3 linked regions of the Elephas maximus indicus genome follow. The protein of the gene in region 3 purifies or fractionates together with the protein of the main gene of each other region. This does not show direct contact. Links are inferred from orthologs where the notes say so. Each region holds a gene or a part of one and is shown on either strand. Other genes may lie near its edges.

Region 1 (3,747 bases), on a different chromosome or scaffold from region 3:
GCTTTGTTTCAGTGCCCTAGCCCATTTTCCGTTACTCTGTTTGCAGTTTTAGTCTCATTAATCCTCAGATAGGCCAGCCATTGTTACCCCATTTAATAAATGAGGAGGAGATGAGGCTCAGTGGAGGTCCTGCCTGAGGTCACACTTTTGGCTGGTGGCAGAGCCAGGACCAGCAGTTGGGGACCTGGCCAGAATGGGGGCGTCAGGGCCCCAGGCAGACCATAAACCTAGAGGTAGGACTTACTCTGAGGTTTGTGTTGGAGGGGTTAATTCCTGAGCAAGTGGGAAGGTGTCAGGGGGAATTCTGGGTAAAAGGGGAGGGTTCCTAAGGAACTCTGAGCACTTACCAAGTGTCAGGTACTTTTTTTGTCCTTTCTTAATAAATCCTTACAGCGACCCTATGAGAGAGGTTATCTCCATTTTACTAGTTGGGAAACAGGCTCAGAGAGGTTAGGTTATGTTCCAAGACCACAGAGCTAAAAAGTGACCAATCTGGAAGAATATAAACAATATCACTGAGTTGTACATGTAAAAATTGTTGAAATAGTGTATCTTTGGCTTTGTATACTTTCACCAAAATAAAAATATTAAAAAAAAAAAAGTTTAAACTATAGTTATGTAGCTATGGGGGCGGGGGGAAGTGGAGAATTCTGTACTGGAACCCATTGAATTTGACTCCAAAGCCCGGGTCTTTCCGTTGCTGTTCCATTTAGGGAAGGCCAGCTGGGGGTGGGGAGGGAGGGAGCTTACTGCACCTTGGTGACCAGCTGGGAGTGTAAAACTGGCGGGCTGGGGGCACAAGGCGACTGGATCTGGAACTCCAAGCTCTCTGACTGGACTACAAACGGTTAAGAACCTTTAACCCCCCCCTCCCCCGCCTCCTCCCTTGGCTCTTCCTGTCCCGCGGATGTTGCAACACAGCCACACTCCCGTCCCCTCCCACCTCTTCTCTCCTTTCTAGTTTTCTCGGAGCTCTTCCGACTCAGGCCTTCGGAGTCCGAGGTCCCTGGACGAGGACGGGATCTCTACTCGCGCCTCAACTTTCGAAGTCCCGCGCCCCAAGGCCTAGGCTCCACCAGGGAACTCGGGACCCCGCGGACCCCAGGAGACCGCCGCCACTGCCCTGAGCCCTGATGGGGGAGTGAGAGGCCACCCTGGCCGGACATGGGCCTCCCCACCGTCCCTGGCCTGCTGCCGCCATTGGTGAGACCAGGGATCCAGAATGGAGTGGGCTGGGGCGGGGCAGAAGGGGGCGAGATCCCGGCTGGCCCCAGCCTCGGGCCTGCTCAACCCAAACACGGTTCACGTTTCCCCATTCTTATGCCAGTGCAGAGAGGGAGCCGACAAGGCCGATTATTTGAGGGAAATGGAGAAGTTTGAAAGGGAAAGAGTAAAAGGGAGCCCTGGCCCCTGATAGCCAAGGAAGTTTGGTGGGGCCAGGGGGCGTCCGGGAATGTGCGGCAGGTGATAGGCCAAGGATGCAGTAGATTTGGCGGGGGAAGGACAGAGTGGGAGAAGGAAGACCCGTCCTCTCAGTCCAGAAGATTCAGGATTCTGTCCCTCTGGTCAGTTGGCAAGGAGCCCTGGTGTCGCAGTGGTTAAAGCGCTCGACTGCGAACCGAAAGGTTGGCGGTTTGAATACAACAGCCTCTTAGCGGGAGGGCAGTCAGCTTCCTAAAGATTTACAGCCTTGGAAACCCTGTGGGGCAGTTCTACTCTATCTTACAGGGTCGCTGTTAGTAGAAATCCACCGGAACGCAATGGGTTAGGTTTTTGGTTTGGTTAGCTGGCTAGCCGGGCCTGTGTTAGGCTATGGCGAGGGAGGCTGCCTATGGAACCTGGTTGAGCAAACCCTGTTAGAGGGCTGGAGTTGGATGGCTAGTGAAGCCGGGAAGCTGAGTCCAGGAGAGGGTGAATTGTGGGGTAGGTTTGGGAGGCTACATAGTGGGGGAGTCTTTGGGAGTCGAGTGGGAAACTGTAAGGGGGAAGGACATCTAAGTAGAGAGCGCCCCAGTGCCCTCCCAGGCCTCCCACTTGGGGCATTTGTGGCCCTTCTGCCTGTGGCTCAGCTCCCAGGCAGGGTAGCCTCTGTTGGAATAACACCTCCACCTCCCCACAAGTAACTAGTACCACCTCCACCCAGTATCCCTGCCCCTGTCCTCCCAGCCCCCTCCCTGTAGAACTAAACAACAATCCTTTGGTTTCTCCTTTTTCAGCTCAGTTTGCGGAAGTTGGTAGAAAGTTGTTTTCGTCACTGGTCACTGGAAAATGTCCCTTTCTCTTCCCTCCACCTTGTTTCAGTGTATCCTTGATCTTCGCTCCTTGTCCTTGACTCATCTTTTCCAAATGCCCTGAGCCCCCAGATTCCCCATCTAGTTGGATAGATTATCCCTGCCTGTGCTGACCAGGTCTTCTCTTTCTCCTGGGCCCCTGCCCTTCCCTGGCCCACCTCTTGCTCCCACCATCTCCCCTGTCGTTGGCATCTTATACTCTCTCTCCCAATCATTCCTCCCTTTTCTATCACTCTCCCCTTCTCAGAGTCTCCTTTTTGAGACCTTTTTTTCTCTTATTCTTTCTTGCTGCCCCACTTCTCTGCTCTAGTGCCATGTTTCTAGACCCTGGGTACCCCAAGCACCTCTCTCTATCATGGTCTCACTGTTCTTCTCATTCGCTCACCTCCTGTCTCCCTACTCCCATCTTCTCTTCCTTTCTTTCATGGGTGTCCTGCCTCCATGATCTTCCCCCAGTTTACAGCCCTGACATCTTCTGTTCTCTCTTTGGGGTGGATCACCTGGGTTTGAATCCTGGCTGTACCATGTAATAGCTGAGCAAGTTACTTAACCTCTTAGTTTGTTTGTCTGTAAAATGGACATAATAGTCATTACCTCACAACGTTGTTTTCAAGATTAAATGGAATAATGTATGTTAAGTACTCATTGATTTATTAAGTGCCTGGGTGGTACAAGCGCTTAATGTGCTGGGCTGCCAACTGGAGGTTTGAGTTCACCCAGAGGCACTTCAGAAGGAAGGCCTGGTGATTTACTTCTGAAAAACCAGCCATTGAAAACCTTATGAAGGACAGTTCTACTCCGATACATGTGGGGCTTCCATGAGTTGGAATTGACAACTGGTTGTTGTCAGTCTTCATTAGGCACTGTTTTAGGCGCTGGGGTTACAGCAGTGAACAGAATTTCTGCCCTCATGGAGTTTAGTAGAGGACTGTTGTTTTTGTAGCTGCCATCTAGTTGATTGCTGTGAGTTGGGGTGCTGGCTGCAGATGAGGTACATTGGCTGGAAATCAAACCCAGGTCTTCCACATGGAAGGTGAGAATTCTACCGCTGGACCACCAAAGTCCACTAAACCAGAAAACCAAACCCATTACCACTGAGTCAATTCTGACTCATAGTGACCCCACAGGACAGAGTAATCTGCCCCACAGGATTTCCAAGGCTGCCACATCTTTCTCCCGTAGAGTAGCTGGTAGGTTTTAACCGGTCACCTTTTGGTTAGCAGCCGAGCTCTTTAACCACTGTCACCAGGGCTTCCAGCGCCCACTAAGACCAAATGAAACCTGTTGCTGTCGAGTTGATTCCAACTCATATCGACCCTAATGCCCACTAAAAAAAAAAATGCCCACTAGGGTGTAGAAAATAGAAAGCACTCAATAAACTTTAGCTCTTCTTTTTTTTTTAACGTTAGCTTTTATATTATTAGTATTATTGGTAATTACTCAGTGAACATCTGTG
Region 2 (3,747 bases), on a different chromosome or scaffold from region 3:
GTTTCCAAGGAGCGCCTGGCGGATTTGAACTGCCAACCTCTTGGTTAACAGCTGTAGCACTTAACCACTACGCCACCAGGGTTTCCGGACTTGGACTATAAAAAATAGCGGTGGGAATAAAAAGAAATGGAGCAATCTGAGATAAACAGCTGGAACAATCTCTTTGGCTGTGATGTTGGAGAATAAGGAAAGTGATTGGAGAGGTAGGGAGAGTTCATTAATAAGCTTGCACTTTATTCTGAAAGGATAAAGGGAGGCCATTTACATTTTAACCAAGGGAATGATCCATTTAGATATGCGTTTATAAATAGATCACTTGGCAGCTGAGGGTGTTGAGATTATCGGAATAGTGCACACGGCGGAGCTCAGCTGAGACAAACCGGGCGGAAGCACGGAGTGGAGAGGAGCGAGAGGCTGGAGAGGCTTCGAAGTCAGGTACCGAGCCAAACTGTCACAAAAATAAGCAGAAACTGACGCAGCCCCAGGAACAGCTGCTAGCGGGGAAGAGGAGGTTGGTCAACGCGCCGCGGGAGCCGCCCAGGCCTCCCGGCGCCGAGGGCGGGACCAGGGCACGCACAGCGGGATGACGCAGGGCCCAGGCCGGCCTTGTTCTGGCCGCCGCCGCCGCCGCGCTGAGGCGGAGTAGGATGAGGCCCGCGGTCGGGGCTTCGGCGTCGGCGGGGACAGCAGCAGCTGAGGCAGCAGCTGAGGCAGCCGTGACGGCCGCGCCCCCCCCTCCTGACCTGGATTAGGCCCAGCAGCTCCGTGGCCGCCGCCGCCCCGCGGGGGGGCGGGGTGGGGAAGTGCCCCGTCTCCCCGCCCCCCCCAACACCGCCTGGCAGGAGGCAACCGTCGCGACCCCAGTGGAGCCCGCGGCCCAGGCTTGAGCCCCCACCCCCGGGGGCTGGCATGAGCGGCCCCTCGGCGGCGCCGGGGGGCGGGGGAGCCGCTGCCGCCTGAGCTCCGGCCTGCCGCCCGACCCCACCTCGCCGACCGAGGCTGACCGCGGAGCGTGCAGACGGCCCCGCCACTCCTTTCTTCCTCCCCCAGATTACACACCCCAGCCCCGGAAGATGGGGAACTGTCTCAAATCCCCCACCTCGGATGACATCTCCCTGCTTCACGAGTCTCAGTCCGACCGGGCTAGCTTTGGTGAGGGGACGGAGCCGGATCAGGAGCCGCCGCCGCCATATCAGGTAGGGGAGGTTGTGTGTTCGAGAAAGCGGGGGGGGGAGGGGGGGAGGGGGGGGGAGGGGCGGGGGGCGAGGATCAGGCAGGTCTGGCCGAGATTTGAGGGGGCTTCAGGACCATCACTGCCCCTAGCCCCGGCTAGGCCTGGTTGGGGCTGTTTGCTATTCTGGGGCTGAGTCTTAAGGGTGATTGCCCTCCACTCCCAGAATAGGGGTGATCCTTCACCTCCCCTCTGGCACCGTGTAGGGGTGGTGCTCTCTGTCCTTGCGTTCTGGGAGCGAGTTTGCGGTCATATCCCTTTGGCAAGAGTCTGGTGATTAGTTTGTGAAGTTTTGGAGTGACATTATTTTCCTGCCTTTATGTCTGAATCCAAAAGTCGGAGTTGTGGGGTTGGGGGTAATTTCCTCATCGTACCGCCAGCTGGATTATGGGTTCTGGATAAGTAAGTGGTTACCTCCCACCAACTCCATTTGTATTTTCATGTGTGATCATCTTCCCCTCCCCCCTCCTACCCCCACCCCTCCTTCTGTCTGTGTTAATTGGATCTGGTGGGTGTTCATTTCTCCCTCTACTTGGGAGAGGATCTCCAACTGGTGATTTTAGTCCCAGCGACATTGAGTTACTTGTTTATATGTATGTATATATTTGTTGATTTTTTTTTAACCCCACCTCACTTTTGCTCCACCCCTATGACACACCTTATAAAATGTGCTGACTTAATAAAACTTGATTAGCTTCAGAACTTTGGAAACCTTTAAACCTGACTTGGGAAATACCTTCTGTTAGTTGTGATTCTCTCTGTATCAAAGGCTTTCTCCTAAATAGGTTTCATTGCGTTTTGTACAGCAACCTGCAGGCCCAGATGTGTTTACAGAGTTAATAAGAAACTAAAACAGGAAACTCAAAATAGAATATGCAGATGTTAATAATCCATCATACATATACACCCCTTTTCTTCTGCGTTTCCAATTTTAAATGATGTTGAATAAAAACTTTTTTCCCAGAAGGGCTTGAATATTTAGTCCTTAGTTTTTTCCTGAAGGGAGTTTAGTTTTTCTAACTGGGCGGTCTCCTTTGTTGTTTCATGTGGTGACATCATTATCTAGTGTTCTTTTTTCATTCCTGTGTAAACTTGTGTCTCATCACACAAGAAAAACCTGATCACATATGCTGGTTTTCTGAGTAAAACCCTTCAGAGACCTTTCATATCTATCAATCAAGCCCAGTCTTATTGTGGCATACAGATTCCCCCATGACTTATCTCTCACATTCTGTATTCCAGGCCTGCCAAGTACACCAGGCTGTTCACACCTCTCTACCCCCGCCCCCCCCCCAAGGTCTGCCAGGTGAACATCTGATTCCCTTTGAGAACTCAGTTGTTAGGTCCACATATCTGAAGCTTTTCCTGATATTCCCCTACCTCTATCCCTGAATCCATCACTCTCATTTGTGTCCCCTTGTGCGCATCTGTAAGCACTACCTGTAACATTTTAGTGAATGTTCTTGTTTAGTTAGATGAATGTCACATCCTTGAGGAGTTCCCTCCTCCCCCAGTATAAGCTGCATGAAGGTAGACCGTGTGTCTTCCTGTTTGCTGCTGAATCCGCAGCGTCTGGCACATAGTATTCAGTAACTGGGATAAATGAATATACCCCTTGAGAACAGGAACTGTGACTCCAATATTTTGCACATTTTCTGCCACATAAGAAGCACTTAAATGTTGAATGAATTAATGAATTTAAATTCAGTATCATGTTTTCTACATTTACACACCCATTTCCCCAAAGAATTGTCACAGTGGTAATCTTTTAAAAATGCAGGCCACATCTGGACGTCTTTCCGAACAAATATCTTTTGAGTGAAGCAAGTAACCTGTGTTTATACTTGCCTTTGTCACCCCCCCATATATATGTTTGTGTGTGCATATATATATATGTAATTCATTTCCATTTCAGGAGAGACAGTTTTTTAGAGATGTGAACTTTTATTTCAGAGTTCCCCCTTTTGTGTTCTCTAGCCTGTTTCCAGGCAAGTTGAATGTCTTGACTTGTTGCCCTCTCTCCTATCCTTATGGTAATTACGGTATTAAGGAGTATTTCTTTAGAATTTATGGAAATAATATAGTATTTGCCCTAACCAGAAGGACTAGATGATAATGATGGTTTTTTGGTATCACAAAGGAACAGTTTTTGAAACATGTTATTTCTGACAGTGGGTATTTTCTTGTGGTTACCCTTTCCTGAAGTGAATGATATGCAAATTTAGTATCATTTGGAAGAAAATAATTACTTTAAAAGGTGGGAGCGTAAAAAGAGAAACTTGTGCAAAAAATGTCCCCCGAAGGAAATAATATTTCTTAGGAATGGTTAATTTACATGATCTAAGAAACACCAAATAAAATATTTTTGGTAAATGATTTATAATGTTTTCATTGGATCTAAGTAATGTATTTTTGTAAAAGAATTAGTATATAATTAACAGCTACAGGAATATAGGCTTATTTTTTAAGAAATTGTTAGCTGCAATGGGATTTTTTTTTTTTTTAGTAAAGAATAG
Region 3 (3,747 bases):
GCAAATCTATACCGGGGAGAGGAAATACTTTTCTAATTCAAAACTTGAGATACGTGGCTTGACAAGCATATTTAAGTACAGTCAAAAGGCTAATGGTAAAGAATATTTCAATCTGACCCTAACTTGGCTATTTTAGGAAGGAGGCCTATCGGGCACCTGTGCTTTGAGGGCCCCAAATCCCACTGCCATGGAATAGATTCTGACCCATAGCGACCCTATAAGACAAAGTAGAGCTGCCCCATAGGGTAACCAAGGCTGTAATCTTCCTCCCGGAAAGCGACTGGCTGGTGAACTCAAACCGCTAACTTTCGGTTCTTACAGGGCATCAAGGTATAAGCGCCCTAACGTCCCTCCCTGCACAATTTACGCACCTCCATCGCTCAGGTGGCTGACATCTTTACGTGAAAAAATGCAGTTACCACGCAAATAGCACATGGGGGGAATAACAAGGTATCTTGGGGCGATCTAATTATCACGACTTCTAAAGAAGACACACCTAATGAGGCCTTAGGAGGGCATGGCAAGGTCAGTAATGGACTAGAATCGATTTCTCGACGGAATGTGATGCCACCCAGGCGCTTGACGTGCAGAAATGGAGAAGGGGAAACCGCGCAAGTGCCGGGGTAGGGGCCGGATTGTTCTGAGTCCTAATTTTATCCAAGACTGGCCTTGTCATGGGATACTCAAGGCCACAGGGCCGCAGGCAGGGACAGATTACCCAAAAACAAAGTACGCAAGGGCTTACTTGTGCTTATTTACCAATCCTTGGTGCACAATTTCAGCTGCTTTTCACCATATTAAAGACGTGGTGAAACCCATGTGAAATTGTGCACCAGGGCTCACGACGTAAACACAAGTAAACCCCTGCGCACCTTGCTTCCTGGTTAATCCGCGGCAGGGAATGTCGCCTCAGGCCCGCATTCCACCCAGCCTGGGGTCGAGGTAGACAGGAAGGCTGTGGAGGGACCCAGGGCGGGTACTTCTTGTCTCCAAGCTCCGCTGCGGCCAGGTCTTGGGCTCTCCCCTAGTGCTCCCCACGTGCGCAGCCCAAGCCTCTCTACCCCCCGGCTGCGCAGCTTGCGGTCCCGGGCGCCAGGGTGGTTTTCAGGGTTTTCTTCCTCTATGATTTCCCTTCTTCTTCTCCACAACTGATGATTTTCTGCAGAAAATCTGAGAAAAAGAACCTACTTCATTTCCAGTTCCCATCACCGCGATTTCCACATGGATGTGACGTTGGGCCGAGCTTCCGAAATGCCCAGGTGACTCACGCGGGGACACCCCGGGGCGGGGCGCAGGAGTTTCTCCGCGCGGCCGGCCGGCGGGGCGGGGCGGGGCGGGGCGGGGCGGGGCGGGGCGGCCGGGAGGGCGGTCGGCGGGCCGGGCTGCGGCCGCGCGCTCGCCTCCTGCGCCCTCTGGCGGCGGGCGACTCTTCGGCCGCGAGTTCCCGGCGCCGGGCCTGGCGTCACGTGACTGGAAAGTCCCCGGGTGGAAATCCCCCGACTATCCGCAAGCCTAAAACAGAAAGGGAAAAGAGAACTGCGCAGTCTGCAGCCTGCGCTGTGGGCCAAGTGCATCCGAGCTCGCGGGGGCGGAGCGTCGGGAGCCGCCGCCGGGAGATCTGCGGCAGCTGGCAAGATCCACACCCCCAGCCTGCCGGCCAGCGAGCGAGCGAGTCTCAGTCAGCCGTCCATGGGGTGCTGCTTCGCCCTGGCCTCAACGCGCTTGCCCTAACTGGGACTTGGGACTTGGAAGAGGATCGCACTCCAGGGAGAGGTAACCGTCGCGGCACGAGCTCATCTGGGGCAAGGGCTATGGGTGCGTCTTTGGCAGCGACTGTCGAGCTTGCTGCATCTGCTTGGCATTGGTTTTGCAGTGGTTCTGGAGGGAAGTTTGTTGGCCGTTTGTGCCCATTCTAGGTGTTGAAATGCTAGGACTTGAGGTCGCCGAGCCAGATGTTGGGGTGACAGCCCTGGATCCCCCATCCAGCTGATCCTTTGCAGTAATGCAGAGAACTTGAGCTGCAGCTGACTGCTGAAGTCAGCTTTGTTAGATGGGTCATTGGTGCTTTGCTCCTTTTTCTGTCTTTTTTGGAATTAAGCGTTGCATGCTCTTGGCCACGTAGACCTTGCAGAACCACTGTGACGTCTGCCGAGATTATGCAGAACCAGCCCAACGGAGGTGGCAGGTCGCAGGGGCAACAAAACTCAGCCTGTGTGGGGGGCTTCGGTGAGCTAACCTTTCCAGGGACAGCTTCCAGACAGTGTTCTGTGCAGGAGAGGTGGGGAGGATGGGTTCTTCTCTGAAAGTTGCAGCAGTGTAAGAAGTACGCTGGAAGAAGTGGGTTGCCCGTCTGTCTTTTGGGGGCCCCAGTTTAGAAGCCATCTGCAGGCCCCCCGCACCAGTCACTACCCCACAGTCAGACTGTCACTCAGCCCAGGTCGCCCCACATCCTGCCACCTGGGCTCTCAGGAAAGCAGTGGTATTAAGTAAGGAAGGAGCTCAGCTCATTTTGAGACCACTTTGTTTTCAGTTCTCCCTGCCTCTGATCTTCCTTGGAAAGCTGGTCTGGTCAAGTGTCTCTGGGCAGCATTTGGGAGAATTGTTATTAATTGATTAAAGAGCCTGCTGGACTGCAACTCTAAATGCCCCTGATTATTGAGCAGCACAGTTAGTGCACCATTCTTACTGTCTAAGGTGCTTCTTTAGGTTTTGCAGTTCTTTCTGCAATGTTTGAATTTTTTGACAGGTACTTTCCAAAAATCTGATGAGATGTTTGCTGATAAATAATTCATAAATTTCCACACTGCAGACAAAAATGTCTGCCTAGAGTGGAAAAATAAAACCAGGGGGAGAAGACTTTGAGCAATAATAAGTTCTGTAGAATCTCATTGCCTGTAGTGACAAAAATTGGGAAATTATCTTCAAATAAGTCCAAGTGAGGTCACACAAATGTTAAAAAAAAAAAAAGGGTAATGTTGTATTCCTTTGACCTATAAGGATATTACAATCATATGACAGATACTTATATTTATGTGTCTTGCGACAGTTGACAGCTCTCGCTATTTTAGATGTTGGCTGAAGGATCTTTAGGTTCAGAAAAGCAAAATCGAAGAGTCAGAAAAGCACAAAGAGGCAATACCTAGCTTGTTTAAAATCTTACTACTTACTGCTTGCCTGTTTCCATGGAGAGTAGCAGGCACTGTAGCCACAGGTGTGGTGGCATCGGACAAGCAAGAGGCAAATATTGGAAGACTTAGACGCTAGGCAAGGCTCTGCACTGGGTAGCTGTAGGACCTTGAGCAGCGGGTCCCTCTGCTTCTGTACCTTAGCTGCAGACTAAGGTAGTTGTATGATTTCAAAGAGGGGAATAAGGTCGTATTTGATTTTTGGCCCTTGCATCAAGCGCAGTGCTGCCTTCAGTAGGTACTCACGTAGGATTTGTTAAATGTATGGATGAATGAATGACATTGTGAAAGAAACTTTTGACATGCTGCAAGGAGAATGTGTGTGTGGTATTTTTGTCCCTTGATTGCACCCTGCAATTATTCTGCCCAGCTCACGTGCAGGGGATTGCTTACATGAAAGGAGAGGTCACCATCTGACCAAGAGATTGACTCGTCCCAGGCTCCACTTGACAATCAGATGAAAAATCCTGATCCAAAAATACCATCAGAAAACTCCTCAGAAGCAGCCCCTGCCTAGTCCAACCTCTCTTCTTTGAGCGAGCCATAAGGATTTAGAATACCT

Evidence for each region.
Region 1: the proteins of TNFAIP3 (region 3) and TNFRSF1A purify together in Homo sapiens (affinity purification with western blotting; 7 studies listed by BioGRID, with this or other methods). This does not show direct contact. The link is inferred for Elephas maximus indicus from reciprocal best matches to the Homo sapiens genes TNFAIP3 and TNFRSF1A.
Region 2: the proteins of TNFAIP3 (region 3) and RNF11 purify together in Homo sapiens (affinity purification with western blotting; 3 studies listed by BioGRID and IntAct, with this or other methods). This does not show direct contact. The link is inferred for Elephas maximus indicus from reciprocal best matches to the Homo sapiens genes TNFAIP3 and RNF11.

Annotation. Positions count from the first base shown.
Region 1 is NC_064822.1:63,140,985-63,144,731, reverse strand, and holds the start of TNFRSF1A (tumor necrosis factor receptor superfamily member 1A), read left to right. Parts: upstream 1-918; 5' UTR 919-1,164; coding exon 1,165-1,203; intron 1,204-3,747.
Region 2 is NC_064821.1:94,257,849-94,261,595, forward strand, and holds the start of RNF11 (RING finger protein 11), read left to right. Parts: upstream 1-998; 5' UTR 999-1,073; coding exon 1,074-1,196; intron 1,197-3,747. UniProt on the Homo sapiens protein: Essential component of a ubiquitin-editing protein complex, comprising also TNFAIP3, ITCH and TAX1BP1, that ensures the transient nature of inflammatory signaling pathways. Promotes the association of TNFAIP3 to RIPK1 after TNF stimulation.
Region 3 is NC_064819.1:207,627,768-207,631,514, forward strand, and holds the start of TNFAIP3 (tumor necrosis factor alpha-induced protein 3), read left to right. Parts: upstream 1-1,525; 5' UTR 1,526-1,773; intron 1,774-3,747. UniProt on the Homo sapiens protein: Ubiquitin-editing enzyme that contains both ubiquitin ligase and deubiquitinase activities.